4 linked regions of the Oreochromis niloticus genome follow. The protein of the gene in region 1 purifies or fractionates together with the protein of each later gene. This does not show direct contact. Links are inferred from orthologs where the notes say so. Each region holds a gene or a part of one and is shown in the gene's direction. Other genes may lie near its edges.

The links.
Region 2: the proteins of slc39a4 (region 1) and vps45 purify together in Homo sapiens (affinity purification with mass spectrometry; 3 studies listed by BioGRID and IntAct, counting the BioPlex papers as one, with this or other methods). This does not show direct contact. The link is inferred for Oreochromis niloticus from reciprocal best matches to the Homo sapiens genes SLC39A4 and VPS45.
Region 3: the proteins of slc39a4 (region 1) and golm1 purify together in Homo sapiens (affinity purification with mass spectrometry; 3 studies listed by BioGRID and IntAct, counting the BioPlex papers as one, with this or other methods). This does not show direct contact. The link is inferred for Oreochromis niloticus from reciprocal best matches to the Homo sapiens genes SLC39A4 and GOLM1.
Region 4: the proteins of slc39a4 (region 1) and letmd1 purify together in Homo sapiens (affinity purification with mass spectrometry; 3 studies listed by BioGRID and IntAct, counting the BioPlex papers as one, with this or other methods). This does not show direct contact. The link is inferred for Oreochromis niloticus from reciprocal best matches to the Homo sapiens genes SLC39A4 and LETMD1.

The regions. Positions count from the first base shown.
Region 1 is NC_031985.2:18,074,019-18,081,289, reverse strand, and holds the start of slc39a4 (zinc transporter ZIP4), read left to right. Parts: upstream 1-4,269; 5' UTR 4,270-4,424; coding exon 4,425-4,634; intron 4,635-7,271. UniProt on the Homo sapiens protein: Selective transporter that mediates the uptake of Zn(2+). Plays an essential role for dietary zinc uptake from small intestine. The Zn(2+) uniporter activity is regulated by zinc availability.
Region 2 is NC_031985.2:38,208,340-38,215,343, reverse strand, and holds the start of vps45 (vacuolar protein sorting-associated protein 45), read left to right. Parts: upstream 1-3,982; 5' UTR 3,983-4,133; coding exon 4,134-4,226; intron 4,227-4,332; coding exon 4,333-4,467; intron 4,468-4,553; coding exon 4,554-4,614; intron 4,615-5,049; coding exon 5,050-5,129; intron 5,130-5,947; coding exon 5,948-6,016; intron 6,017-6,153; coding exon 6,154-6,291; intron 6,292-6,522; coding exon 6,523-6,633; intron 6,634-6,859; coding exon 6,860-6,994; intron 6,995-7,004. UniProt on the Homo sapiens protein: May play a role in vesicle-mediated protein trafficking from the Golgi stack through the trans-Golgi network.
Region 3 is NC_031977.2:20,711,201-20,719,012, forward strand, and holds the start of golm1 (Golgi membrane protein 1), read left to right. Parts: upstream 1-4,802; 5' UTR 4,803-4,986; intron 4,987-6,090; 5' UTR 6,091-6,103; coding exon 6,104-6,232; intron 6,233-7,233; coding exon 7,234-7,413; intron 7,414-7,646; coding exon 7,647-7,701; intron 7,702-7,810; coding exon 7,811-7,812. Other genes in the region: LMBR1 domain-containing protein 2-B, read left to right, coding at 641-734, 862-925.
Region 4 is NC_031984.2:9,542,033-9,549,409, forward strand, and holds the start of letmd1 (LETM1 domain-containing protein 1), read left to right. Parts: upstream 1-4,354; 5' UTR 4,355-4,400; coding exon 4,401-4,516; intron 4,517-4,802; coding exon 4,803-4,957; intron 4,958-5,742; coding exon 5,743-5,858; intron 5,859-7,371; coding exon 7,372-7,377. Other genes in the region: gtsf1 (gametocyte-specific factor 1), read right to left, coding at 626-701, 782-839, 1,294-1,383, 1,489-1,615, 2,492-2,598, 2,705-2,820, 3,533-3,564. UniProt on the Homo sapiens protein: Plays an essential role for mitochondrial structure and function, as well as thermogenesis of brown adipocytes.

The DNA.
Region 1 (7,271 bases):
GTGTACTTTATTGAAGTGAAAGGTAAATTTATAAGCACATGAACATCTGTGGTGATCCAGTTGACAGAAGGAGCAGTTAAGGGTAAACTTGCCTGCAGAAGGAAAATTAATCTAATGTATTGGATTTCACTAAGATATGTGGAAATGTTACTGAAGTGTTACTAAATTCCTTATATCACAAGACATAACTGAGGAAATGGGTGTCCTCAAGCACTCATTTCATTGACCAGTATCTGATGAACATACCATCACAAACCTGTTGAATGTCAGGATGTTTTAGAGTGCAAAATGACATTCATGATGCTTATGTTGAACTTGGTGTACCCGTTCTTGCAAAAGGAATGCCAGGCAGAGTCAGGGAGTCTCTGATTTCTTTGTGGTTTATTCTCGGCCTCAGGACAGGTTGTCACGTCCTGCACTGATGGCAGGTTTTATTGTTAACTCAAGGAGAACACCTGTAAAATGTTGCTCAACTGCAGCAGAGACGAGTGGCGTAAATTAAGATATTTTACAACATTCATGCTTTCCATCTTAAAAGCTTTCATCTTTGCACTTGTCATAAACCTTTTTGCAAAACTACCATGTGTCAGCTCAACATTTGGACCCTATAAACATGCAAACTCTTTAACCTCACTCCCATAGTTTTTATAGCTGACCTTTCAGATCTGTGACCAAGTGTTTCTGCTCATTCTGTGCTACAGAAAAGTATTTGCCCCCTTCCTTTCCTTTCTACATGTGTCAGATCATCAAAAACTTATTCTGTATTAGATAAAGATAACCACAGTAAATACACAAAGCAGTTTTTAAACAATGGTTTCATTTATTAAGAGAAAAACCTGCCTGGCCCTGTGTGGAAAAAGTACTTCCCCCTGCTAACAGACACATTGAATCAAGAAATCACTTAAATAGAGCCTGTCTGATAAAGTGAAGATATCTAAAAGAGCTCAAAGGCGCTTTATATTGTAAGGTAGACCCTACAACAATACATACAGAGAAAAACCCAACAATCATATGAACCCCAATGAGCAAGCACTTTGGCAACAGTGGGAAGGAAAAACTCCCTTTCAACAGAAAGAGACCTGACAGATGACAACTGAAGGCTCTCCCTCCCATTCTACTTTTGAAATACTCTAGGACCCACAAGTAAGACAGCGAAGTGCTCTAATGGGGTGATACGGTACTATAAGGTCATTAAGATAAGATGGGGGCTGGTTATTCAAGACCTTGTATGTGAGGAGAAAGTTTTTGAATTCAATTCTGGATTTAACAGGGAGCCAACGAAGAGAAGGCAATATAGGAAAACTATGTTCTCTCTTTCTAATCCCTGTCAGTACTCTTGCTGCAGCATTTTAGATTAACTGAAGGCTTTCAGGGAGTTTTAAACCTTCCCAGGAGTGGCTGGACTACCAAAATTACTCCAAGAGCGCATCAGTGGCTCATCCAAGAGTTCACAAAAAAAGCCAGGTTTCATGGGTCAACAATAAGAAAGAGACTCAGCCTAAATTCTTGGGAGAGTTCAAAGGTGAAAACCACCACTGATCAAAGAGAACACAAAGGCTCATCTCATATTTGCCAAAAAACATCTTGATGATCCCCAGGACCTTTGGGAAAATATTTGGATGGGTTGAGTCGTGTTATACTTGGTGTGAAACACACAGTATTTCATAAAAAGAACATCAGTCAAACAGTTAAACACAGTGATGGTAGTGTGAGGGTCTGGGGCTGCTTTGCTGCTTCGGAACCTGAACAACAAATTGATGGAACCATGAATTCTGCTCTCTACCAGAAAATCCTGAAAGAGAATGTCCGGTCATCAGATCATGCCCTGAAATTTAAGCACACTTTAGTTACATGGCAGGACAATAATCAGCAAGCCCAGGTTTGAGTGACTCAAAAAAAATAAAAGGAATGTTTGAAGTGACCAAGTCAAAGTCTGACTGAAATTCTTTAGCATAACCTTAAACAGGCTGTGCATGCTTGAAACCCCTCCAGTGTGGCTGAAATAAAACAATTCTGCACATGTGATTGTAGTTCCTGCTGCCGAGGGTGGCACAACCAGTTTTTAGGTTGAGGGGCAATTACTTTATCACACATGACCAGGTAGATGTGGATACCTTTTTTTCTCTGCATCTTGTTTTTACTCGGGTTATCTTTGACTAATATTAAAATTTGTTTGACGATCTGAAACATTTAAATTTTACAATCCTCTGTTTTCAAGCCAACTGTAAGATAAGTTGTTCCACGCATATCTTAGAATGTGCAACAGTCCTGGGGATAATCCCTGACTGACTCCATGATAAGCGATCAGGACTCTGACTGTAATGACTCTGTTTTCTCCTTGTCACTATAGATAGTTGTTTCCGTCTCTGGTCATTTGTTTCGGCTTGCTGTCATGCTGCAGAATTAATCTGGGACCCTGGTGTATATTTAGGTAATTCCCTGAAGCAGGTCAACTCTTTTTACAGCCTGATTTTTCTTTTCCACCTAGTTTAATGTAGAAGTAAAAACTATTTTGAAAAGAGCAGAAATGTGATTCTTTCTTTTTAAGTTTCCTTTGCTAGTTTTTTTTCTCTATTGAGAAAACAAAGGTCTGAAAAAAGATCTCCCAAATGTGAGAAATCTCTTTGTACTTTGGATTAGGAATTCAGTTTTGATGAGTATCTTGGCTGTCTTATTCAGATTTGCCCCTCTAAAATATATTGTGTCTCAATTTGAAATAAAAATGACAATAGCATGCTTTTATTTCACATCTTTGGATCGCTCATAAATGGTCCAGAATGCAGTTGTGAGACTTCTCACCAGCTCCTCTAAAAGAACATGGATTATGTCCTCTTTATACCAGTACCCCATTAAGATTTTACTGAGCTCCTCATGGTCAAATACCTCCTTAAATTAATGGACAAGAGGAAATTGCATTTTTAATTTTGCTGCCTTTAAGTTGTGGAATTTGCTACCATTGAACTTAAGATCTGCGGCCGCTATTTATACCTTTAAAAAGAAGCTTAAGATGAACCTGTGCACACTTGCTTTTAGTTTATGTTTATTTAAAAGGGACAATGCATATTAATTAACATGAGCACTTACATCCATCATATAAATGTGGCAGATTTAGCCACGTTGATTCAATTTCATCAGTAGTCACTGGCAGGTTGATGGCATAACAAATGAGTCAACAAAACCAAACATTCAGAAGCATGTGAACTTAAGTGAAATACAGAAACACATATGAAATAAAGAATAATAATAAATACCCATATACCATATTTAAACACATTAGAATCAATTACCTTCAGTGACATTATTTCACATCAGGACAGCATGTTTGATTATCCAGTAACCACTGTTTTATAGATTTAGAGAAAGAAGTAAAGAATGTTATATTCCTTATTTCTGCGGGTATTGTATTGTACTGTGGGTAAGTATAGCTGATTGCCAAATGCACTTTTCCTGAGGGGTATTTTACAGTCTCCTCTAAAAAATGCTGTGGTAGATACAGCTTAACTTTGATTTTATTTAATGACCTCATTAGAGGAGTCGGGGCCGGTCACTTTTATCTATTTATCCATTTTAATTGTATTGTTATTGTGCTTTATATTGCAGAGCACTTTGTAACTTTTGTTTTTGAAAAGCGCTTTATAAACATATGTTACTGTTTATTTACTTGAAATATTAATTAATTAAGATTTTGTTTACCACTAAGATAAAGGCACCTGACACTGAGTTAAAAAATAAATTCCAGTTTTGTTATGGAAAGGATGTCTGAACATTTAAGCAGGAAACTGTCTATTAAGGGTTTACAAAGTTGGAACGGCCCTTTTTAAAGTATCAAATGGTTTAGTATTTGGTTTGCCAGTATTTTTGCCTGCATAGACAGAAATAGAAACACTTATTTTAAGTAAGATAAATAATAATAATAGCTCTCATATGGTGGTCAGGATTAAAACATCAACATTTTGTATCTTCTTCAGCAGTCAGTGCAAACCAGCCACATAAGCCTTTTATCAAAAAATCCATTTCCTTTACCTGGATTTGTGTTGGTTGAGCCTATCAGCTCCTTTGTGTGATGTGTGATGCCTAAAATAACTTTGGGTTCACTAATATGGGTGAAACCGCTGTTTGGTGTTTTGCTGGTGGTGTGGCGATGCCTGGGAGGCCTGTGGGGTGCCTTTTCTGACCTGTACAGGTAACAGTGGTTATAATAGACAGGTGCAGGACAGCACGAGGCATGTCTCAGCCAATCACAGCCGAGGTCCAGTGAGACTGCAGTGGTTTAAAACTGATAACAGCCGTGAGCTGAGCTCTATGGCTCAATGTGTCTGCAGAAATACCTTGAGACTGTATGAACCTCTGTGTCACACTATTTCTGCATTTTTTTTAGGCTTTTAGTCTTTCCAGATATTTTTTTCTTCAAAGAAAGTTTTAAGATGATTTCCTCTTCGCCGTTTCTTCTGCTGCTTCTCTCCGGGTGGGGTTTGCTCGGTTTTGTGTCGGGTTCCCCCGCTGTGGAGGAAGCTTACGGGGCTGTGGTGAGCATCGTGTCTCCAGGACAGCAGTATCTGACCGGGGAATCCCTTCACTCCCTCTTTAATACACTGGAGAACCGTGTGCAGTGCGGCGAAGTGCCGTGTGAAAAGGTGAGTTTTATTAGGCTAAAGCTGCAACCGAGCTGGAGAGCCTTGAGTCGGGTGCGGTGGAAAAAGGTCGAGGTCCAAAAGCTATTACGCAAGTGATAGATTCGGCTGCTTTCAATTGTAACAAATTTACTAATAATAAAAATAATGTTAAAATAAAAATTTAAATTTTAACATTACTTCTTTTAGATTTAGATTTAAGCACTTATCTGCTGAATAATCATCTGTAAAGTTTACTTACATATTCCAAACTGCTTATTTACTCCTTCTGTAAGAGTGTGCAAAAGTTAACTAAAAGTAAAGTAAGGGTGCTTTCAAATAATGCTGTAAGTACTTTTTTAATCAAAGTGCAGCAAAGCGCAATAAACAGAAAATCCTTAAATCCCTTCAGCATTAAAATAGCACCATTTTTCCACCTTGGCCGGCCAGTTGTTCCGAGCATTTGGTAGTTTCATGATGGGATTTAGGCTCCTATTTGTATTTTTCTATTTAATCCCAGGCTTGTTTAATAAACTGGGCTTGTCAATGGGAATCTTTGAGCTGCTTTTGAAAGGAAAAAATGTCTTAAGTGTAACTTTATTACATAATATTTGCCGTGGATGCACAGAAAAAAAGAAGAAGAAAAAGAAAGAAGTGTCATTTAATTGAACCTAAAAGGAGACAGTAATCTTATGATCATTTACAACATAAAACAGCTATTTGTCGCATTTATGTTTTATAAGTTCAGACCTTTTTCTTTTCTTTCCTCTTCTTTCTTTCTCCTGTGCAGTAAGTTATTAAATAAAGAGTCTCTGGTGGAAGTCTGGCTACTGTAATGCTAAAAGTTTAATGATAAAGTAAGTGAAATAAGCTTTAATCAAGGTTTTATCAAGAAAAACAGTGTTGGACAGCATTTTGCCTTGTATCAATAGGCTTCTTCTTTCAGTCAACAGGAGCCTAAACACCGATCACGGCCTTTAACGGCAGGTGTTTCTCCTGCCTTAGAATTGGCCTTTTTTAAAGGGTGCTGTGTTCACATCCCTATCTGACCATCTAATAAAGATAAAATCTCATTTTTTTTCAGTAAAGGAATCTTCAGCTCATAAAAGCTGGTTTAAAAATAAGTTGTTACAGTGCTGGTGATTTTTCTCCAGCGTTGGCTAAAAGCTCTCTTAGGGGGCACCAAAAATTAAGCAGGAAAAAAAAAACCCAGGCTGGCTGAAACAATTACTCTTCGGTTTCAAGTTCAGTGTGTTAGCACTAATCCATGCTTATTTTATAAGTGTTGCTGTTACTCAAAGTATTTGCAGGCAACTTAGACAAAACCACTTTATCAGTGAGTGAGAGCGAAGTCCTTGGACTTCTTAGATGTCAGCTGAAAACAGCATGAATGTGCAGTGCATGCCTGATAAATGTCCGCTATCAGACAGCTGTGGCAGCCACCAGTGAATGATGGATGAAATAAAAGGGATGAGAAAACTGTAAATGTCATTGTAGGTAAATTATTGTTTGTGAGAACTGATGTAAAAGTCTTAGCAGTAGTGACATCGGCTTGCACTGTAGATTATAAGAGGCAAAATGTGAAAGAGGTTCAATATTGACCCACAATAAAAACGTTTCTATTAGTTCGCTGTCTTAGAGTTCATATACAGTGCTGTGAAAACATATTTGTCCCCGTCTGATTTCTTAGCTTTTTGAATATTTGTCAAACTTAGATGTTTCACATAATCCAACTAATTTTAGCATTAAACAAAGAAAACGCAAGTTGATGCAAAATCCATTTTTTAAATGATCATTTTACTTATAGAAGTAAAGCTATCCAAACCGACCTGGTCTTGAGTGAAAGCCTAAGCCTAACTGGTTGTGCCACCCTTCGCAGCAAGAACTAGTCAAGTGTTTGTATTAACTGGAATTGAGTCTTTCACATCTCTGTGGAGGAATTCCACAGGAAGTCCACTCTTATTTGCAGAATTGCTTTAATTTGGCAACATCGGAGGGTTTTCAGGCATCAACGACCTGTTTAAGGTCATGTCAAAGCATCTCAATAAGATTTCAGTCCAGACTTTGACTAGGCCAGTCCAAAACCTCCACTTTGTCTTTTTTTAACCATTCAGAGTTGGACTTGCTGGTTTGATTCTAATCATTGTCCTGCTGCATAACCCAAGTGCTCTTGAGCTTCAGCCCTCTCTAGTAGAGAGCAGACTTCATGAATCCACCATGTTTGACCCCACCCGGAGAGAAACGTTTTAGGAAATCCCTTGTTAGTTTTACACCAATGTAGCGGGAACAGTCCATAGAATATTTTCTCAAAAGTCTTAGGGATCATCAAGATGTTGTTACTGTTTTTAATATGGCAAATGTGAGACGAGTCATTGTGTTCTTTGCTAGTTTTGCTAGTTTTCACTAGCACTAGTTTTCTCCTTGAGCTCTCCCATGGGTGCCATTTTTCCCAGTCTCTTCCTTATTGCTGAATCATAAACTCTGAGCTTAACTGAGACCTGCAGTTCTTTAGATGTTGTTCTGAGTTCTTTTGTGACTTCCCGAATTAGTCGTCGATGTGCTTTTGGAGTAATTTTGCTAGGCCGGTCACTCCTGGAAAGATTCACCATTGTTCCAAGTTTTCTCCATTTGTGGATAATGGCTCTCACTGTGTTTCACTTT
Region 2 (7,004 bases), about 20 Mb from region 1:
CTGCAGGAAGCTCCTGAGGATGTTTTACCAGTCGGTGGTTGCAGGAGTACTTTTCTATGCTGTGGTGTGTAGGGGGAGCAGTACAGCAAAGAAGGACTCATCCAGGCTGGAAAAACTGATCAGGAAGGCTGGCTCTGTGGTCGGCATGAAGCTGGACACTCTGGTGTCAGTGGCAGAGAAAAGGACACTAAAGAAACTGCTGGACATTATGGACAATGCTGGGCATCCTCTGCACACAGTCGTAAACAACCAGAGGAGCCTGTTCAGCGACAGGTTGCTTCTCCCAAAGTCAAGAACCAACAGACTTAAAAACTCCTTTGTCCAACATGCCATCAGACTGTTTAACTCCTCACTGGAGGGGAGAGGGAGGGGAAACAGGAGGACAAAGGAGGGCGGGAACAACTGAGCTGTAGGTGCTTTTTAACACTGTGCAATATTTGTTTTGTTTTGTTTTTTTTCTTATATTCGACTGTGTTATATAGATACAGAATATTGTATATTCTGTATCTATATATGTGTATATATGGTGTATTTATGCTTATATCCTTACTCTCATTCCCCTTTATTGTATCTGTAACATGCAACTTCTTTCGGTGCTTTGCTACTGGAAACTGAATTTCCCGGAGGAACCCACCCGAGGGATTAATAAAGTTTCATCTAATCTATCTAATCTGATAAATACAGATTCTTAGACATGGCAGTTAGTTAAGTGAATCGAGATAATGGAAGGATAACCTGCATATGCAGAACTCATTTCACTGTACAGAATTGTTTGTTTGTTTGGGTGTTTTTAACCTTCATCATCCATTTCTTGCAGGACCTCTTCCTCCTCTTCATTACATTTCATCTCCTGGTCAGCTGTGCCTCCTGCTGGCCTCTCCACCTCTGTTGTCATCTCCTTGCCTGGTGGAAGGACACACCTGTGAGACAAACCTGCACAAAAACTAGAGGTCCAAGTCAGTAGTTAGCAGCCAGCTAGCAGCTAGAACCACCTCTGTCAGCGTGCACCCATCAGTCAAACATGCCTCTAAAAATGCAAATATTAAGCCTTAATCCAATTTCAACAGGTGAGTTATAAAGCATATAGTTAGGGCTGGACCAGGTGACCCTGAATCCTCCCTTAGTTATGCTGCAATAGACGTAGGCTGCCGGGGGATTCCCATGACGCATTGAGTTTTTCCTTTCCAGTCACCTTTCTCACTCTCTATGGCTACGTTCACACTGCAGGCGAAAGCGCATCAAATCCGATTTTTTTTTTGACCCTATGCGACCCATATCCGATCATGGTATGACAGTGTGAACAGCACAAATCCGATATTTTCAAATCCGATCTGGGTCACTTTCGTATGTGGTACTGAATCCGATACGTATCTGATGTGTTAGAAAGCGACTGCTGTTTGAACGGTCATGTCGCATTAAATCCGTCTTTTACATCACTGACACAAGACAGATGCCAATTATCAGCGCCGGAGAAGACATCGCGAACGCTTCCTGGCCATCCAGTGTAGATGTCAGTGAAACTGTTGGGAAGACAACGTGAACATTTTATTTGTACTGTATAATCTGCAGATTATCCTTTGAAGCACCGCTCCTCTAAAACAGCAATAAGGATCATTATTAGGTTATTTACATTATTATGTAAATAACAGAATAATTTAAAGCAAAAATTGGGAAACAAAGTCTGAAGTCTTTATATTAAGGGCCATCAGTCAAACAATATTGTTTGCTCTGGGTCTAAACAGAGCGAGTTGTGTGTGACATCTTCTTTTTAACATGCGGGTCGCTTTGAGCGTTCACACTAGAGCGCGTTTGCTGTCGCATTTTATTTGTAGTGTGAACAAGCAGACAAAAAAATCGGATTTGATCAAAAAATCGGAATTGAGCATTAAGACCTGCAGTGTGAACGTAGCCTATGTGTTAATAGACCTCTCTGCACTGTATCACACTTGTTATTAATCTCTGTCTCTCTTCCACAGCATGTCTTTATCCTGTTTTCCTTCTCTCACCCCAACCAATCACAGCAGATGGCCCCGCCCCTCCCTAAGCCTGGTTCTGCCAGAGGTTTCTTCCTGTTAAAAGGGAGTTTTTCCTTCCCACTGTCGCCAAAGTGCTTGCTCATAGGGGGTCATATGATTGTTGGGTTTTTCTCTGTATCTATTATTGTAGGATCTACTGTGCAATATAAAGCGCCCTGAGGCGACTGTTGTTGTGATTTGGCGCTATATAAATAAAATTTAATTTAATTGAATTGAAAGTTATAAAAACATTCATCAGGTACAGTTGTTCTGAACAGGGAGATTATCTATAGAGACCTCATTTTTAATACAGTCTAATAAACCAATTCTGCAATTCAAACAGGACATCAGTCAAAATAAGCTTTATAAAAGTATTTCACAGGGGGTTCCTAACAAAGAGCATGTGGCTAATTATACCAATGTTATTTTTGAACACAAAAGGAAATCTCAAACTAAAATTCTTTCCTTTTGGTTTAAATCTTTGAAAACAAATTTTAAAAAACTAAATAAACAGTAAAAGCTAACCCAGTTTACTGTTGCAGCTCTACACAGATCTGAAGCTATTTCATTAATAAATATGTCAGCTGCCCTGTATGAGCATTCTGCTAGTGGTTATCTCAAAGTTAGCAGTGCCAACTTCATCAATAAGGAGCTCCTATTAATATTTTATTTTCAACAACAAAGGGATTTAATTAGTAGCTGATAGAGGGAGTAGCTCAAAGTTGTTCTAGTTGACCCTAAACTCGATCAGAAGCAACAGAGCTTAAAATACATTAATAAATTCAGTTCATGAGCAAGTTTCAAAACTCAATAAAAACACATTCAGTAACCACAGCTGCAGCTTAGCATGCTAAAGCTCAACGACGTTTCACTTACTGATTTCTAACTATTAAAAGTTGAGTGATATGAACAAATCTATACACCGTTATTTTTCCCTACAGTCTCTCCACACTGCAGCTTAGCATTGAGCTAACTATGCTAACTAGCCGAGCTGCTAACTCAAAGACTTCAATAACTCTGGATGACATCCACTGAAAAAGTATACCAACCAGACGCTTACCTTATCCGGACATTTAATGTGCAAAATAATTATATATTCCGTTAAAATTCCGCCTGTGAACCGTGTGCTTTTCTTTTAGGAATAAAATGAATAATGTGTGGTCTTCACACACACGTTGGGGATGTTGTTTGCTCCTGCTAGCACAACCATATCCCTCCGCCAACAACCTCCTGTTAGCGCTGCTGCTGTTACGGGACTACATTCAGACAGAGCGGAGTGATACCTGTCCGTGGGGCTCACAGCAGCTGTTTTGATATGTGGCTTATTAAATGTTTTCCTCCTCGTAACCGGATGTTTTTGCTTATCGATGATAAATACGCTCAGTTTAAGCACCACACTCTGCCAGTTTAAGTAGAGTTCAGCTTCATGTCGGCACGCTAACAGTTGTTAGCATGCTTCTTATCTTTGGCATGCTAATGCTAAGCTAATTATTAGCAACACAGAGTTAATCGGTTTGGGACTGTTTTTATTTACAGAGTCTATAAACTCTGATTAAAGACATGAACGGCGAACATCAAAGGCTCTAATGTAACAGCTCCGGAATCTAGCTAAACTTTCCAGCCCAAAATGTCAGGATGGTTTGGCGATTCCTAACACAACAACCAACAAAATGTAAAAAGAAATCAGTAAATATATTTATATGTAAATAAGATACATGTTTACTAAGTCTAGTATTTGTTGTTGTTGTTGTTGTTATTGTTTTTGGCATAAATAAAGCATTTCATAAGTGGAATTGTGTAATTTATGTTTTTTCCATTTTAAAATTCGGACTGAAGGATGTTATTCTATGTCAGCCTAAAAGGCAATATCAACATGCATCATCATCATCATTATTATTATTATTATTATTATTATTATTATTATTACTAGTTTAAAAAAATCTCTCAGAACCCGATGACGCAAGCAGAGTGCGTGTGGCACGTGATGTCAGGGACCCGGAAGGAAGTTTGCACCAGTGTTGTTATAGCAGCTCCGCAGGTAAAGAGACGAAAAGCCCTCTCTGTAGCCGCTGCTCTTTGTTTATTTGTTTTTGTTTGTGGTCTCTGAGTGTCGCTATCATGAATGTGACGCTCGAGGTGAAGCAGTACATCTCCAAGATGATCGAGATCAGCGGGCCCGGGATGAAGGTGCTGCTCATGGACAAGGAGACGGTGAGGCACCGACCCAGGACTGTTAGCGGTGCTGGTGCTGAGCAGTGTTTACAGCAACGTTACTGTGTCTGATGGTGTCTGTGTGTGTGCGCGTCTGTGTGTTCAGACCAGTATAGTGAGCGTGGTGTACACTCAGTCTGAGATCCTGCAGAAGGAGGTTTACCTGTTTGAGCGGATTGACTCTCAGAACAGAGATAACATGAAGCACCTTAAAGCTATCTGCTTCTTGCGGCCCACCAAGGTACAAACCACCCTCTGAGTAACATTGTGTGTGTCTGTGTGTGAGGTAACACCATCTGCAACAGTGTGTTTGTGTGCTTGCTGCAGGAGAATGTGGAGCACCTGATCCAGGAGCTGAGGAGGCCCAAGTACAGTGTCTACTTTATCTGTAAGTTTCCACAGTGACAGGGCGGGAGTGAGAGGAGAACGGGGTTGCTGGTTTGGCACTCGTCTTCCTCGGACAGTTCAAACATAGTTCGGAAGCTAACATATGCAACTGAGTTTAGCTTTGCTGCAGAATCCTAGAGATCAGTGATGTAATCAGAAAATTCGTGATACACATGGATGAGGGCCTGCTACCAGCGAATCCTGCTGCTTTTAATGACGCCAGTCTGATTAAACACAGTGACACTGTCATCAAATGTGAGTCGTTTTCTACTTAGAGCTGTGGATTTGTCAGCTGAGCAGATATCAGAGATTTTTTCTGTGGAGTTAGGTGTGGGGCAGAAGTTTGTTTCAGTCTGTTTCATCTGAAGTTCATCACCTGACTTGTGTGTGTGTGTGTGTGTGTGTGTGTGTGTGTGTGTGTGTGTGTGTGTTTCAGACTTTAGCAACGTGATCAGTAAGAGTGAGATCAAGGCCTTGGCTGAGGCTGATGAACAGGAAGTGGTGGCTGAAGTCCAGGTGAGTGTCAGGACCTCAGAGAAAGCGTGGGGGTTTAATATTTCCACATTACTGATGATGTAAGATCTCTCTGTCAGTCATGGCGGTTCATTTTTAGCTGAACTTGACTGCCAAAATACATCTTAACAACACGATAACTTAACAACGTCACTATTATTACAATGATATTAGTCCAGAGTCTTTTTCTCTCTTCACCTCCTTGTTGCATGTGGAAACCTGGTTCAGTCTTTGGACAGATCATTATTTCACTGATTTAACATTTCCTCTAATAATGCAATAAATACTTGTTTATAATCAGAGTTTCAGCTGACTAGAGCTACATTCAGCTGAAAGTGTTCCTCTGTGACGACTTCATTTGATGACATCAGTAACATGTAGCCCAACATGCTAAGTTTATGTATATGTATGTAATATGAAAGAATTCCTTGCTAGTAACATCCAGTTTGGCCTGCGTGACCATCAGTGCTCCATTAGCCTCTCATCATTTCTCCAAATGTCAGGTGAGATCCTCCTGATGCTACTGATAGTCACAAATGGAGGAGGAGCTTCCTATGGCGGTTTGTGGTCGGGCCGAGCTGTTTGATCAAATTTAATTTTAATGCAGACACAGAACAAAACTGTGCCGAGAATTCATAGGATGTCTTGGAAAGCTGTCCTCCTCCCTGCGTGAGCATCACCATCACTCTGCTTCATGTTTGGTGTGAACACAGTTCATACACCTGAGTGACATCATCAAAACCAAAATAGCAGAAGTATAGCTTACTGTGTGTGTGTGTGTGTGTGTGTGTGTGTGTGTGTGTGTGTGTGTGTGTCTGCAGGAGTTCTACGGAGACTTCATCGCCGTGAATCCTCACCTCTTCTCCCTGAACCTGCAGGGAGTCACTCGGGTAAGAACCACAAGGCCCTCAGCTGTCAGAGCTCCACCCTAAAAAGCTCCACACACTGAAATCACATCACCTCTGTGTGTGTGTGTGTGTGTGTGTGTGTGTGTGTGCGTGTGCGTGTGTGTGTGTGTGCTTTTTAGGGGCGGAGCTGGGAACCCTCTATGTTGGCACGCTGCACTCAGGGATTGACCTCCGTCCTGCTTGCTCTGAAGAAATGTCCAATGATCCGCTACCAGTTGTCCTCAGACATGTCCAAACGGCTCGCGGAGAGCGTCAAGGTTTCCACAGCATCATCATCACACACGTCATCACTGAAAAGTGCTTTTAATGCCACTACAGGTTATTTTAGCGCCGTGTGTCCTGTTGGCTGTTCGAAGATGATGCCACCTCTGTGCTGTAACCTGAGCCCTTTGGTTAAAGCACTTGAGCCTCAAGCTGTTAACACTTTTACTCAAGTAGTACTCTGAGTAGTACTTTTATTCTTCAGTATTTTATTTGTTTGTTGTCAGCAAATCATCACGAAGGAGTACGAGCTGTTTGACTTCAGGAAGACTGAAGTTCCTCCTCTGCTGCTTATCCTGGACCGCAGCGACGATGCCATCACGCCGTTGCTCAATCAGGTGACTGGTCGCTGTCCTCTGTGACGTCGATGAAGAAATTAATTAAAGGAAATCATTTTACATTTTTAATAATTCTGTCATCTTTTACACTGCATCCTCTGCAGCTCATTTGTCACTTTAATTTGATGGATGTTGTGTGCCGCTACAAAATCAGCAAATCATAAATTCACTGGTTGTGTGTCTGTGTGAAGTGCATGCGTGTTTACGAGCTTTCGCTGTGTTGCAGTGGACATACCAGGCCATGGTCCACGAGCTGCTTGGCCTCAACAACAACAGGATCGACCTGTCCAGAGTCCCCGGGATCAGCAAAGACCTGAGAGAGGTGGTCCTGTCAGCTGAGAATGACGAGTTCTACGCCAACGTGAGTCTCA
Region 3 (7,812 bases), on another chromosome or scaffold:
ATTCTGGAGTTAAATGTGAGGCCATCTGTCTGACGGCTAAAGCTTGGTTGTAGCTTGGTAATGCAATAGGATAATGATTCCAAGCTGCAGCAACAAATCTACAGCAGAATGGCTGAAAAAAAAAAAAGAAATCAAAGTTTTGTAAAATTACAGTCAAATTCAAGATCTCAATCTGATTAAAATTATGTGGCGAGAACCTAATACGCTGCACATGAACAACTGCCTGCTTTACATCTATATATATTTCTACATATATAAATATCTAGCAGATGGTAGATAACGGTCATTTCTTTGCTGCACATGATTATTACGAAGAACATTTTTAGAGTTTTTAACATGTCACCACCTTTCCCCCTTTGTTTTGAATTACACCAAACATGGATTTTTGATGGATTATCATGATTTATATTGTAAATAAAATGGTTTTTATATCGTGCTTTTCTACTCTACTTAAGCACTCATTATACAACTTGTGTCATTCACCCAATCTACAGGTACGTTTTTTCTGTGAATGCATATGTCGAACTTACTAACCTTCCAATTAGTAGGTGACCTCTATCTCTGGAGCTATAGCCACCCCTTGTAGAAAAAGTCAATCTGCTTACTAGTGTTGTGCATCTTTTCTTCTCTGTATTCACAGTTGTAACATTTACCAGAAGAAACGAAAAGGCCGACGAGCAGCAGACGGGCTTATTGCAGGAAGACTCCAGTGATGACGAGTCGCCCAACAGAAGGTATAATGTCATTCAGTACCAAGAATATAGTTGATTAGTGTTAAAATGAATCTGAATAATATTGTGTTTTAAAAGAATGCTAACAGTCCCTCTCTGTCGCACTGTGTTACTGTGTTTAATGCTGTAGATCCACAGGAGGAAGTTACCTCACTCTGTCACCTCCAGTGAAGGGCGTGTTTGACGACGTGTGATGCACGAAGGACCTGGAGGGAAATCAAAAAGCTAATATGTGCTGTAAATAGAATAAATGATTCAAATGGAACATTTTCTGCAAAGGGAAGTCTGAATGCAGATAATTCACTCTTAAGAAAAAAAACGTAAAGATGTAAAATATAACTTTAATAAAGGGTTTTATATCAACAGCATAAATACAGGTGGTATTTATAGCGATCGGTAACTAGAAGGACTTCTTAACACATGTGTGTAAATGCGTGCTTGATATTGTTATGTTGTATAATAAAATTGGTGGATAATAGACCTCATAGTATGTGCATAGATTTTATATTTATTTAATTTGAAATTCAATTCTTGTGCCTAAAGCAAAATGTCAAAGAGAATATATCAAAAACATAAACATGTTTAAAGTTGTTTTCAACTGTATCTGCTAAATAGCATCATTTTCATGTGGTGCAGTCTCCAGGCATCTATTTATACAATTTAGAACTGTTCGACTGTTATTGTATAATTAAAACATAATGTTTTTGCGTGTACTTTATCTGCTGTTGGATTTTGAGTGACCTAAAATATATAAAGACATATACATCGTGAGGATTCTCTCTTACTGGTACGCTCATCAGAGCATGCAGGTTAAATGGGGAAGTAGTATTTCTGCCCCCTTTGGTGTCAGCAATGGTGTCAGACAGGGTGGGATTTTGTCTCCAATTTTATTTAATCTATATGTTGATGATCTGTCCATGCAGCTGAGAGCCTGTAACACTGGGTGTATATTAGGTAAAACACTGATAAATCATCTTATGTATGCAGATGACCTGGTTGTTTTTAGTCCAAGCAGTGCTGGGTTGCAGGATCTTCTTAATGTCTGTACTGAATATGGTGTGCAATATGACATAGAGTACAATGCTGCTAAAAGTGCTGTTTTGATATGTAGAACCAAGCAGGATAAACAGCTAAATTTCCCTTTGTTTAAACTGGCCCAAAAAACTCTTGAAGTTCATAAAAAGGTGAAATACCTCGGTCACTTTATTACTGAGGAAATGAATGATGATGATGACATTTACAGACAACGATGTAAGCTCTATGTGCAGGCAAATACTATTGCACGCAAATTCAGCTTTTGTTCACTTCCAGTTAAAGTGGCTTTGTTTAAAGCGTATTGCACACCGCTATATACTGCCCCCTTGTGGTCATCCTACAAACAATGTAGCATGCAGAAGCTGCATGTTGCATATAATGATGCGATGAGAATCCTTTGCAGGATACCTAGAAGTGGTAGTGCCAGTCAGATGTTTGTAGCTGTGGGTGTTTGGACTTTTAAAGCACTTTTAAGAAAGTTAATGTACAATTTTAGAGAACGACTGGATGGTTCAAGTAACAGTATAATTTTAGCACTTACAGATCCGACACTGAGTGGTTCCCGTTACTCATCCAGTCTGAGAAAGCACTGGTTAAAGTGTTTGTGTATTTATTGATTTATTTTAAGTAATTGTGTTTTATGTATATTATGGTTTTATATTTTTACAAATTTTTTACAAATGTTTTATATTTTTACTAATGTTTTATATACTTATTTATCTATATATAGATATATATGTGTGTGTGTGTGTGTGTGTGTGTGTTTCTGTCTTGTTTTTTATGGACATGAAGTCTGCTAATAAAGATTGAATTGAAATAAAGCAGCATCCCAAGATGTCCTTTATAGCCCTTTTTTCAAATGTCACCATGTTTATTTTACCACATGGCCTGAGGGTTGTTGTTTTTTTTCTTTTAAATAGATAATTATTGCAAGAGAATTGTTTGCAAATATATGGAGAGAGGTTTATACTGTAATTCCATGAGTGTACAGAGTTTTGTTTTTTGTTTTCGTTTTTTTACATGTATTTTTTGCAGCCCTCTGCATGTCCTAATGACAGAATTTGTCCAATATATCCATTATCCCTTTCAAACAGATTGCCTCTCTAACTCTTTCTCCACACCACTCAACCTGATCTGTTCTTCTCATCTACTCTTTTCTCATCCTGGTCACTCCCAGTTCGAGGATCTTCAGCTCTGCCACGTCCAGCTTGGGCGGCTGACTTTTGCTAGTGCAATGCATACCTCCACCTCTCCAGGCATTCTTCCACCTGCTCTAACAATAGAGCACAATGTTGTCTGCAAACATAAGTCCTGCCCATCATCACTAAAAACAAGAAAGGGCTCAGAGCTGAATCTCTGAGTCAGGCCCACCCTTAGTTTGAGCCCATCTGTCACTTCTACCACATAACTTACCACTGTCTCGCTGTCTTCATACATGTCCTGCACCATGCTCATATACTTCTTTACCACTCCTGACTTCCTCGTGGAGTACCAAAATTCCTCTCTTGAAACCCTATCGTAAGTGCTGAGAGAGTGCAACTTCTTATGACGCTCTCTATACATCTCCATCAACACTCTTAAGGCAAACATAGCACATGAAGCACACTGGCTTCATGCTATGGCTTATTACCTTTATTCTTCTGTAGTTAATACAGCTCTTCACATTATCCTTGTTCTTGAAGTACCGTGCAGTTCTCTATTCTTCAGGCATCCTCTGAAATTGAATTAAACAATCAGGTTAAAGTCCATTGCCCTCTCTCTCTGACTTCTCCATACCTCCACAGGTATGTCATCTGGACCTTTCCTGTTTCCATTCTCTTGATAGATCCTCTCATTTCCTCATTATTTCTCTGCACTTCCTGATCCACTAACTTAACTTCATCTGTTCCCCATTTCATTTTTTCTTCATCAGCTTCTCAAAATACTTCTCAACACACCATCTTACATCTCTTGTTGAAATATATACGTTGACTCCATATTTATGTTATAATTAGCCATAATCATAAAGTTTGTCAACTTGAAAAATCAATTAATGCAATCTGAATAAGACAAATGTTGTTTAATTTTAAAATATTAAATGTATTTTTTCCAAAAAAAAAAGATTCAAAAGAAGTCAAAAGACAAACGGGATAAAGAAGTAATATTAGTTTATTTCTTTTTTCTTCATGAAAATTGTCATTAAGTTTCAAAACCATTAAACCATAAAAAAGAAAGACAATGCACAAGAAAAAACAAAATTATACTAAAATGTAACTCAAAATAGACAGAGAAAGGAGCACTCTTCCTTGCATGACCAAAAAAACAACACCAGTTCTATGAGGTTAGAACGATGCCACCTTAAAATGAAACTGGAAAAAAATATTGAAACTGAAAAAAACAGAAACATAAAAAATTGAAACTGAAAAATTTTACAGTTTCAATTAATCTTTTATCACTATCAATTTTTTCACTTTCAATACAAAATTTTTCAGTACATTTATTTCATTTACAATATTTTTTTTTTTCAGTTTCAATATTTTTTTCAGTTTTATTTTAAGGTGGCATCGTTCTAACCCCATACAGTTCCCACTTAAATGATAAAAGTCACACTTCAGATCAGGCCCAAGAAAGAAAGAAAGAAAGGCTGGGTAGAGAAATCCCTATCCTGCTTACATTAGTTTATCTATAAATAATATAATATTTTATTGTTTAGTTTTTAATTAATGTTTTACATGTATTAATATTTTTAATATACCTACATTTATTATTTAAATCTTATTTAACATGATATGACACGTTAATGTTACAGATGCAGAGGACCGGTTGACCGTTGCCGGTGATGCCTTTCTAGGCACTTCGTAAAAAACAAATTCTTAGATCTTAAAGTAGCCTAGACTACCAGTCTCTCAGTATTTATTACTTGACAGCAGTCAAAAGCAAACTGTTTCGAAGCTGATATTGCAAAATACTTTAGGGTTTAGGGGGATTTCGTTGTCTATTAATTTATTTATGTGAAACTAAATATGATTTGTTTTTACAGCAATCCGAGGAAGTACTTGAACGTCTCAGTCATAGGCAGCAGGCAGAGCACACAGACTGAGCTGTCTGTGTGGCAATGATGGATACAAGCTAATCGTCCGACGTTGACGGTCTACGAAAGCTGTTAGAATATAAAACGAGGTGTCACTCCATATATCGCCTCACGGATTTGGCTCTGATTTCTGACAGGCAGACATATCCGGTAAGTAGGTTCGGCTGCTAGTTTTAGCTAAGCGACCTAAAAACGGTAACAGCAACTGTGAAGGAGCAGCGCTGCTAACAATGTTAGCGTTAGCTTGCAGCGTAGAGTTCCTTCGCTTCTTCTTTCAGCACTGGCCCAAATAAGAAGAAAATGTGGCCATTTCTTTACACGTTTATGTAGCTTTGTCACATATTTAATAAATAATATACATAAAAAAAATTCGAAGTTAGTATTTCTGCTTTCTCTTGACCTGAATTTGCCTAATCGATTATACGAAGGACCCATTTTTCTCGAGTTGTTCCGTGTTATCGCCACCGTCACGATACGGGTGGCTCTGATTTATACTGCCAAACACAACACAGGTATACCCTGGCTCCAGGCCTGTGTTGTGATTTAGTAGTACACATCAGATTTTTCTAACGTGATATTAAATTGAAGGTTAGCTGGTTGTTCGTTTTGTTACTAATTGCGCTGTCACATGTTAAACAGTTCTTTGCGCCTTTGCAATCCTTTGGTCATTTGATTGACTAAGGAGAATCACGGAGAATCACGGAAAGCAGGAATCCGCATCGACAGTATGTATTACAAACTAGGCAATACGGCACTTCGTCGGTGATGTGTAGTGCTGCTCTTTAGTATGTAGTTGTTGCATTTTAGCTCCCGTTGGTCCTTGGGAATGTCCTTCTAGCTTGTTTGTTTTTTCCCTTCCCCATTAAAAACATTTTAACTGAGTCACCACTTTTGAGCACATCTTTTTGCTGTCTGTGGTGCTGGGTATGTTTCAGTGTGACACCGTACAGGTGTGTAATATTTGTAAACATAACACCAAAGCTGTGTATGTGTTGTTTCCAACAGAATCACTCAACATACTGTTGTCTGTATGTATGTGCAAATAACATTTCCTGTGTAAGCTTTTTGTGTTTTTGCTGACACAAAAGCTGCAACAACCGACAGCGAGCTTTTTTTTTTTACATGTCTGCAACCAACTTGCAAAACCACCACCTTTTTGCCAGAAATGCACAGAAAATATGTGTTTAAAAGATGCAGTTAGAAAATAAAGTGTGGAGAAGTGTGCTAACCGTGGGCTACTTTGTGTGTTTTCAGTTGGTAGACAGCAATGGGTGGGCTGGGGAACGGGCGTCGTGGAGGAAGGTCACCGCCTCTTATGATTGCCGCTCTGATCGCCTGTATCTTGGTTCTGGGCTTTAACTACTGGGTGTCCAGCTCCCGCAACCTGGAGCTTCAGGTGGGTTAAAAAGTATTCAAACTCTTCCTCATTTCTTATTTCTTTTGCATAATTATCATGCTTACAGGTTTAAAAAAATTTTTTGTTTTTACGTCTTTCTCTAATAGTACTTACTTTGATGTTGCGTTACATGTGTTTTATTTTACCAATATAAATGTGCCAAGAACTGTTCTCGCTTACTGACTTAAAAGAAAATATAAATACTGTCATAATTTGGAGACCTGTGTGACCTTGTAATGATTGCACCAATTCTAACTTTATTCTTTTTTTCTTTCACAATCACCATTCACACATAACTTTGAAAAGGAGTGTCTCCTTTCTTGTAAAATACCTAGAAGTTAGGCAAGGTTTATACTACCTTGCCCTAACTGAAGCAAGTGAGACCTGCAGTTCTTTAGATGTTGTTCTGGGTTCCTTTATGACCTCCTGGATGAACTTTAAGGCGCTCTTGGTGTAATGTTGGTAGGCTGGCCACTCCTGGGAAGGTTCACCACTGTTCCAGGTTTTCTTCAATTGTGAAAAATGGCTCTCACAGTGTTTCACTTAGACGTGGCTTTGTAACACTTTTCAGACTGATAGATGTAAGTGACTCAACTCCATTGAGAGTTTTTGAGTTTTCTTTAGATTGCGACATGATGTGTTGCTGCTTGAGATATTTTAGCCTACTTCCCTTTGTCAGATAGGTTTTATTTTTTTCAGTCCAGTTTTTATTGTTGTTTAATATATTGCATTAAATGGCAAGAAATTCAGAAATTTCTGTCAAATAAGGTTAGAAAGACTCCTGTTTTAGCTTATTAGACACAGAAAATAAGGTAACACATGCATGTGTAACTATATATATCTGTATGCATAGTTAACCCTTAAAGACTCATTCTGAACCAGGAAGTTTCTGTCATTTTGTTCTCTTCATATGGATGTTATCATGACCCATGACAAATTCTAAATAAGTGGCCTATATAAAAAGCAGTAACGTGATACTGATCTTGCTGCATGTGACACAGACTAAACTGTATGAGCTGGAGGGCCAGGTGCGACGTGGAGCAGCAGAGCGAGGAGCAGACGAGATGAAGAAGAAGGAGTTCGAGCAGGAGATCCAGAAACAAAAGGATCAGATCAGCAACATACAAAGTCTCTATAAGAGACAGTTGGAGGGAGCTGAGAACACCTGCAGCCAACACAAGGTGCATACAAACAAAACTGGTGACAAAAAACCTTTATGTGCACAAACGCTACCTCAGAGGTGCTGTCTATCAGCTCTTGTCACAAGGGAATCTATGGGCAATAAACACACTTTTCTGACTTACTCACTGTTGCGGTTCACACCAAATAAACAACTTATCAGGGAAAATTTTCATATGAACTATAAATAAGTGTGATAAGTGAGTATTGACATGCGTTGTGTGTTTGTGTTTAGGCCACACTGCAGCAGAACATTTCCTCCAGTGCAAAAACCATACAGGAGCTCAAAGGTAACGTAATGTTTAGCTTGTTGTAAGTGTTGCTTTGACTTAGCAACCATCACATGGCCGCTGAAAAACTGTGCACTTAATTTCATGTATGTGTTTGTGTGTACTGTAGGT
Region 4 (7,377 bases), on another chromosome or scaffold:
TGCATGCGGCACAACTAGAATAGCCCAAAATAAAGTTCATGTTACACCCCAAGCAGCCTGTTTAAAATGGCTGCATTACCTCCTCAAAATGTCTTGAAGTTCTCCAGAGGCCTGGTAATGAACTAATCATTTGATTCAGGTGTGTTGACCCAGGGCGATATCTAAAACCTGCAGGACACCAGCCCTTGAGGCCTGGAGTTCCCCCACCCCTGCTCTACACCAACTGTTTTTGGTGATTTAATCAGACCTTGTGACTTTATGTCAAGTCCCGGATTCTTGCTGCGACTATAGGACTTGAAAATTTTGCCTTTAAACCATCTTGAAGCAGTGCATAGCATGTGACTAAAAAGAAAATAAATAAACTTACAAGTTTCCTCACATAAACAGCTTTATTAAGCAACAATGCAGTCTGACTAAACAGTGAGGATGCTAGACACGACGAAAAAAAAAAAAAGTGGACATATCACATCATCGTAGTCTGCATCTGGCAGAAGGCATGAGTCACATTGAGGGAAAGTTAAAAAAAAAAAAAAAATGTTAAGAACAAATTTAAAAAGGGAAATAGCTAAACATGCAACAGGCCTACAATTAGCTATCAGGACCTGCAGTAAATACAAATTATGGCTTAAAAACCAGACCATGGAATGTCACTGGGTGATCTAAACGTTGGACCAAGATTATTGGTGGGTCTTGTTTCCTGTCTGGTGGGAGAGAGGCAACAGTTAGAGAACACAGAAAAACTACTGTTAGCTGATGCCGACTGATCGAAGAGCTGACTTACCTTGGCCCAATGGTTTTGGTTTCACCCCACACAAATGGAGCAGCAGTGTTATCCGCCTCTGCAAGATGGGACAGTTACCTTAATACTTTCAGTAATTAATGTCTCAATGTCTCAGGGTGCAGCACAAAAAGTTTATATTTCAGGTCCATTTAAGATCTCAGACCCATTCTTAAAATGGAGTATTGTTTCTAGGTAGGATCTAGGTGAGAAACGGGATATTTCACATTTTACACAGTTGCAGTTCATCACAACAGGCCTGAGCAGTCTTCCAGAGTTAGAGTTTTATTCAGTAATATTTACTAAAACTAGCAACTGAGACCATTAACCCAGATGAAGCGTTTACAGAGGTCACAGATCAAGTGAGCATAAGCTTCAAGCAGGAGGAGCAGTTGTCTTCAGCTTTCCATTACAAGGAAAGCGAGCCTAAAGTACTTTAATGCTTGATTAACACAGCCAGGTTAAGGTTAGTTATCCTTGTGCCAGTACCAAGATGATGAGGTCATAAGTCATACCTTGATCCCAATCCTCAGTCATGTTTGGGTTAACCCAAGTGCTGACTGGGACATGCCAGTTACAAGGTCCATTTGAACTTGAACTTCCATCTATAATAGGGTTGTAAAATAAGAAATATTCACGATGTTAAACATGATTAAATTTAAGTTAAAAAAAAAAAAAAAAAAAAAAAAAAAAAGGAAAAGCAATCTTACCTTCTTCCATGTCCACAGGAACTCTGTCCTCACAGGTCTCAGTGTGGTGAGCCAGCTCATGTTTGGGGACCAGGTGGCGAGCATTAAAAGGGCAGGTTTTTAATTCACGGGCCAGTTTGGGATGGTTCTGCAGAGAGTTTATATAAACAATTAAACTTCCAGTCATGGCTAAAGTTTAATTCAAGCCAGGGAATTACTCGAGACCAGTACCAGCTTCTCCATTTAACAATTTCTCTTCTCCCTCACCCACCAGTGGAGAAAATTTGGCTACCTCAGTGCTGTGATGTTCTGCTTGATAAAAATAATTTTAAGCGCTGGTTCAGCGGTTAGATTATTCAATAGGATGCTGTTTAACTCAGCTGCATGACACCGAGGCCCTTCTAACATTTAATCTACCCTCAATGACGTGAGAAGAAAGCAGTAATTTGAATTTAGTTTAAACTGTGCAGGGCTGCAACATCCAGGCTAAGTGCTGCTAATATATTGGTGACTAGAAGCAAATGCAACTGGCTAATACTGAGGTCAGCTAAACCAATTTATATAAACACAGAATGTCTGTTAGTGGCCTAAAGAGAGAGAAAAAAAATAAAAATAAAATAAATACTAGTTACTATACCAAGCTACAAAACTAGGAATAAAAATTCTCATTAATTGAATTCATTCATTCGTATCACAAAGTTATATTGCATCATAAAATCAATTTTAAGAAGACTTTAGTACAAGTCTTAATTTGCTCACATTTGTATAGACAGCCTGCCTGATGAGGCTTAGGTGCATTGTATCTGACAGTCACTGCTTTCACAAAGTGTAATGTTTGCATTGTAATGGCTGCTGTGAACTTCTAACAAGGCCAAACTCTCTTATAAGATTAAAACCATCACTGGAACTATTGAAACTAAAAAAACGAAACGAAAATGAGTAAACCCAAATTGACAGACTAATGTAAAATAGAAAAAAAATACAACTAAAACTTAAAATTTTAAGATACTAGCACTTGACGCACCTTCCTGCACTTTATGATGTGGTAAGGAAAGCGGCTGGACCGGATCTTGTGGTTTTTATCAAAAGGGCACTGAAGAAGTTTTTCTGGGTCTGTGTTTCCTTTCCCATCTTTAAAGGGGGTGAGAAGCAAATGCATTAACTTAGCATTTAAAAGTACTGACAACACCGTAAAATGTTTTTAAAAAAAAAAGAAAAGAAAAAAAGTTGGTTTTACCATATTCCTCCACCAGCTGTGCTGGCTCTGCAGAAGAGGTCCTGCAGGGACTGGTGGTGCTTCCAATTCCGAAATTGCTCGCCATCTGTAGCTGGGATTTACTGTGGGCAGGCAAACTGTTTAAATTAAAATATAACCACCCACCCCCAAATACGCTTGCACTTTGGTAATGCCAACACATGACACAGCATTCACAAGGTGCATAACCACATTAACCCTTCAGCTCTGCACGTGTGCAACATTTTTCTGTCACCCCAAAGTGAGCTTAACTTAACCTGCTGGTTTGGATTAATTTTAAATATAGAGAAGAAGAAAAAAAATACTCCTAATATGTGTATAAAGACAGAAACATGAGTGACCTTAGTGAATGAAGCTAGCTCTTTTCCCCCAACTCTTTGCGTCGCAGTACACGTGCAGGTGGTTCCTACACCCCCTGTTCTTCTTTGACCTGATTAAACATCTAACGCACTCTTAACTGCAGAGTTTAATATTAATTTTTCATGGCTTTTATGTTCATCTTCCAGCTCACAACTCCCATGATGACCAAATATTCACATTTGACTGATATAAAGCCATTCTTTATGGCTAAAATAAGTCGCAGGGCTACCTCATGGACACGCTTCACAGTACCTAGCTCATCAAACGTTCAAACGTTACCGTAAAATATGCAGCAAGAAGAGCTGGCCCGTTTCCAAAATCTGTTAGCAAAAAGTTGCCTAGCTACTCAGCACATTGCCCGAGACACGTGAATTTTAAACACCTGCACTTAATTTTTGTAAAGTCTGTAGAAAATACATCAGATAAAGCCTAGAAGCGGTTTAAAATTACCGTGAAAGAGAGCCGTTTCTCTCAAAAGACATCAAGCAACCAGAGCCGCCCCACTTCTTTAAACCTCGCGAAGAGTCACGTGATTAGCACTTAAAAAAATTATTTACTCTACAGGGATTTTAACTTTTAAATTTTACTTTTTAAAAAATCTTTTTATATGAACTATGAATTCTATCAATAAAATGTGCAAACTGAATCTCTGGTTTATGGTGGAAGAAGCAGCTAATTAAATTAGTTGTCCGTGCAAAAAGTACCCATTCATTTTTAAGTAAAGATGTTAAATAGCATCAATAAAACATGCTAATTAAATTGCACTGACTTTTGGAAAAAGTTACGAAATTAAATGAACTGTTCAAGCAAAATTAAGAGTACAGTAGACACTACTGATTACGTGTAAAATGTCAGTACTCAAAGTAAAATGCTAACGTAAAAGTACACAGCTACTGGCAAAGAAATAGTATAGAGAATAAGAAAAAATTTGAAATTCTTTAGTGATTTTAAAAGGTTAGAAATCATTGTATTAGAGCAGCGAAAACAACAAAATGTAATATACTTATACTTATAATGAAAAACTTATTTGTAATTGGACTTATTTGTATCACATCATATCATATTTTTCTTATATTATAGCAGACTTTTTATTTTGTGAATGGATGGTTCATTAAAATATGAAAGAGTCAATGTTTTTAGAATGCTTATTTACATTTATCAAAGAAAGAAAGCTTTTTTGGCATCATTTTACACACTTAGCATGTAGCATGTGGCTCATATTGAGCCTGGCACCATTTTTTTGCCATTACGGTAACTGACTTACTTTTATCTTTGCTGTATATGAGCGTCATTACGGTAAGTGCGCTGGCTGTCAAACATGGCGCTGTCCTGTTCGAGTCTGTGTAGTCAACTGTCTTTAATCCGACACTGTCGTCTGGGTACAAACAGGATAACACATGGTCTTCACTCTCCCTACATGCTCTGTCAGTTCAGGTATATATGAAGCCGTTTAACATTGTCGCTTCCATCATTTATCATTTTTGTTTTACTCGTGTTTCGTGAACCTTTGCTAAGCTAGCTATACCTACCGGCTGATAAGAGATATTGAAAATAAAATAAAATAAAAATTAAAGTACGTTGTTGATATTTTCATCAGAGCAATTATTATATTGTGATTGGTGCATACCCTAACGATAAAGAGCAATCATTTTTAATTCTTTAATGTACAAACAAAGATGTTATTCCTTTAATGACAGATAATATCTTTCCTCTCTGACAGACTGCCCCTGTGTAGACACTACTCATCGTCCGAAGTCAGACGAGGTTTTGCTCGTTATGTTGCCTCCAAACTCCAGTGGGCTAATACCAAATATGAAGATTTCCTTAAAAAGCGATTTCCCCGCTTTTTTCTGCTCTATCACACTTTCGTGGAAGGTAAGCTCACGGTTTACTCACATCTGAGGTCTCCAAAAACACTACAGGAGTGCCCTGTGAGTCTTGTTAGCCCAACAATGAGGTTGGGAGACCTGACTAGGGACCAGGAAACAGGCTGCTGTAGTACATAGGCACCTTATATATGAAGGTTTTTGAAGATGAAAGTTGCTGAGAGAGAGAGAATTCAAGACCCAACTCATGATCAGAATCTGGAGTTAAAATAAAACATTTATACAGGGACATGAATAGCCAGATTTCTCATAGTCCATGACCTTAATATGATCGTTTCACCTGGTCTACTAACATCAGGGTCCTCAGGGTCTTTACTTCCTGTATGGATTTGTCTGCTTCTGTTCTAGAATTGAAAAAGCCTTTTGGATGGTAGGTGAAATATCTTCAAAAACCTAAAGAAGTCCAGTTGTCTTCTTTCAAACATCACCCCATTGGCAGCATTATATTGAGAAAACACTGTTCTTGTCCATCACTTACCCAAGCTTATTTTTTTCAGGTCCTGCAAGTCACATTTTCATTTTACTCTATTAAAACTGCATTAAACAAGCAAACAAACATTGCATACTACACACTGTTTGTAATATACAAATGATTATATAATTACATCATTTTGTGGCCCCAATCTAAAGTGAACATCTACAGAAGTACAAGCAGGCCCAGGAGTTGGTGTCTAAATAAACAGCATGCTACAAAGCACTTTGTTCTAAGAGTCAAATAATATTTTTAAATCTACAGTAATATTTAAAACAATTTTTTTCTGCCACTCATTCCAGGATTCAAGCTCCTTTTCCGAGATGCTAAAGATATCAGGAGGATAAAAGCAAAAATGTGGTCTGATGGAGTAAAGTTCCAGGATTTGCCTTACAGGGACATGGAGAAACTCAGACAGGTGGGTCTGTTTACCACACTGCACACAGAAATACCAGAATTTTCCACACATATTAGAAATGGAGGGAATCAAACTGCTTATAGCTCAGTGAAAATGAGTACTTTCCTGATTATTATTAAATTTTATTAAATGTAATTACATTTATTTTGTTATTATTAAATCTGCAATAAGTCAGAAAAAAAATTATTTGATGTTTTTTAATCTTTTAAATTGCAAAAGTTTTGAATATACTTGATTTTGATTGTTGATATGATGCTATTGCTTCTGAGTGTAAAATTTTCTCTTGCCTGTATTCTGTCTAATGGCCAGCAGGAGGCGAACTCTGGTTGCAAAAAGAAATTCACTTGTATAGAAATTACCTACTGCTTTTTTTTTTATCTGGGATCTTTTTTTAAAATCCTTTTCTTCATACATTCACTCTTAGCAAAAAAAGTTGCGTTTTATATCATGTTATTTACCAAAATATGATGCATTTTGTCACAGAAAATCCAATATAATCCTATTTTATTTAGATTTTCGATTGGAGTATTATTAGTGTAATACCGGCAATGGGAATTCATGTCGGGTTAACACCATCTCTATGCACACAAATAAAACCAGTTCTATTTTGTTTTGTCACTAATTGTCAAAACTGTTTAAAATTTTAAAGGCAAATAAACTATTATATTATTTAGGGCAGTCATCAGTTTGTATTCATTAAAAGAATAAATAGACAGAAAAACAGAAATCAAGATCAAAATAACAAATGAATATATTCTAATTTAAACACCTAAAATGAAAAGGCTTAAATCAACCATAAAAAGAAAAAACGAACACCCACTGTTTGAACCGGTCATAATGAGTTAATTCTGTCTGATATTAGGTTAACAGGCGTGAGGATTTATCAAGATGCGAGTACTTCAGGTGCATTAGGGGTGGGATGGCATGCCTCAGGAGGTAGAGAAGGTCATCTACTTTATCAGCATTGAAAAAAGTGTAATGCTGATGTAAGCAATGCTCTTATTTATTTTTGGCAGCTTCTTCTTTTTGATCAGTTCAGTGAAATGTCTGTTTCCAACTCTTCTTGTCTTCTAAATCTTCCCTTTTCATGCCAACCATCGGCATTTTCTGTCAAAACAACCGTAATGCTCCTTTTTGTTTTGATTTTTCTTGCTTGTCAGCCTCATCTTCTGCATCCTTCTCCCGATAATCCCACTTCCTCCCCTCCACACATCTCAGCCGATTCATCGCACTGACTTTGTACGTCAGGTTTTCAATCTGAGCTATCGCTCTGAATAAATACTAATGGTATTTAAAAATTAATTTCATAATCGTGAAGACTGTAAGAGCATCTTTTAAGGGGAAGGATTAGCGTTTAGTCACCCGTTCTCATAAATTAGTGTAGATTTTGGTAGAGTTTCAATTCCTGTGGTTATGGCAGTGCAGTATTTTTAGTTTATGCATTGTCAGTGTTTCAGGGCTGTAATGTTTATTGTCTCACAGTAACTTGGCTCACTTGACTTGTGTTTGACAGTTTCGC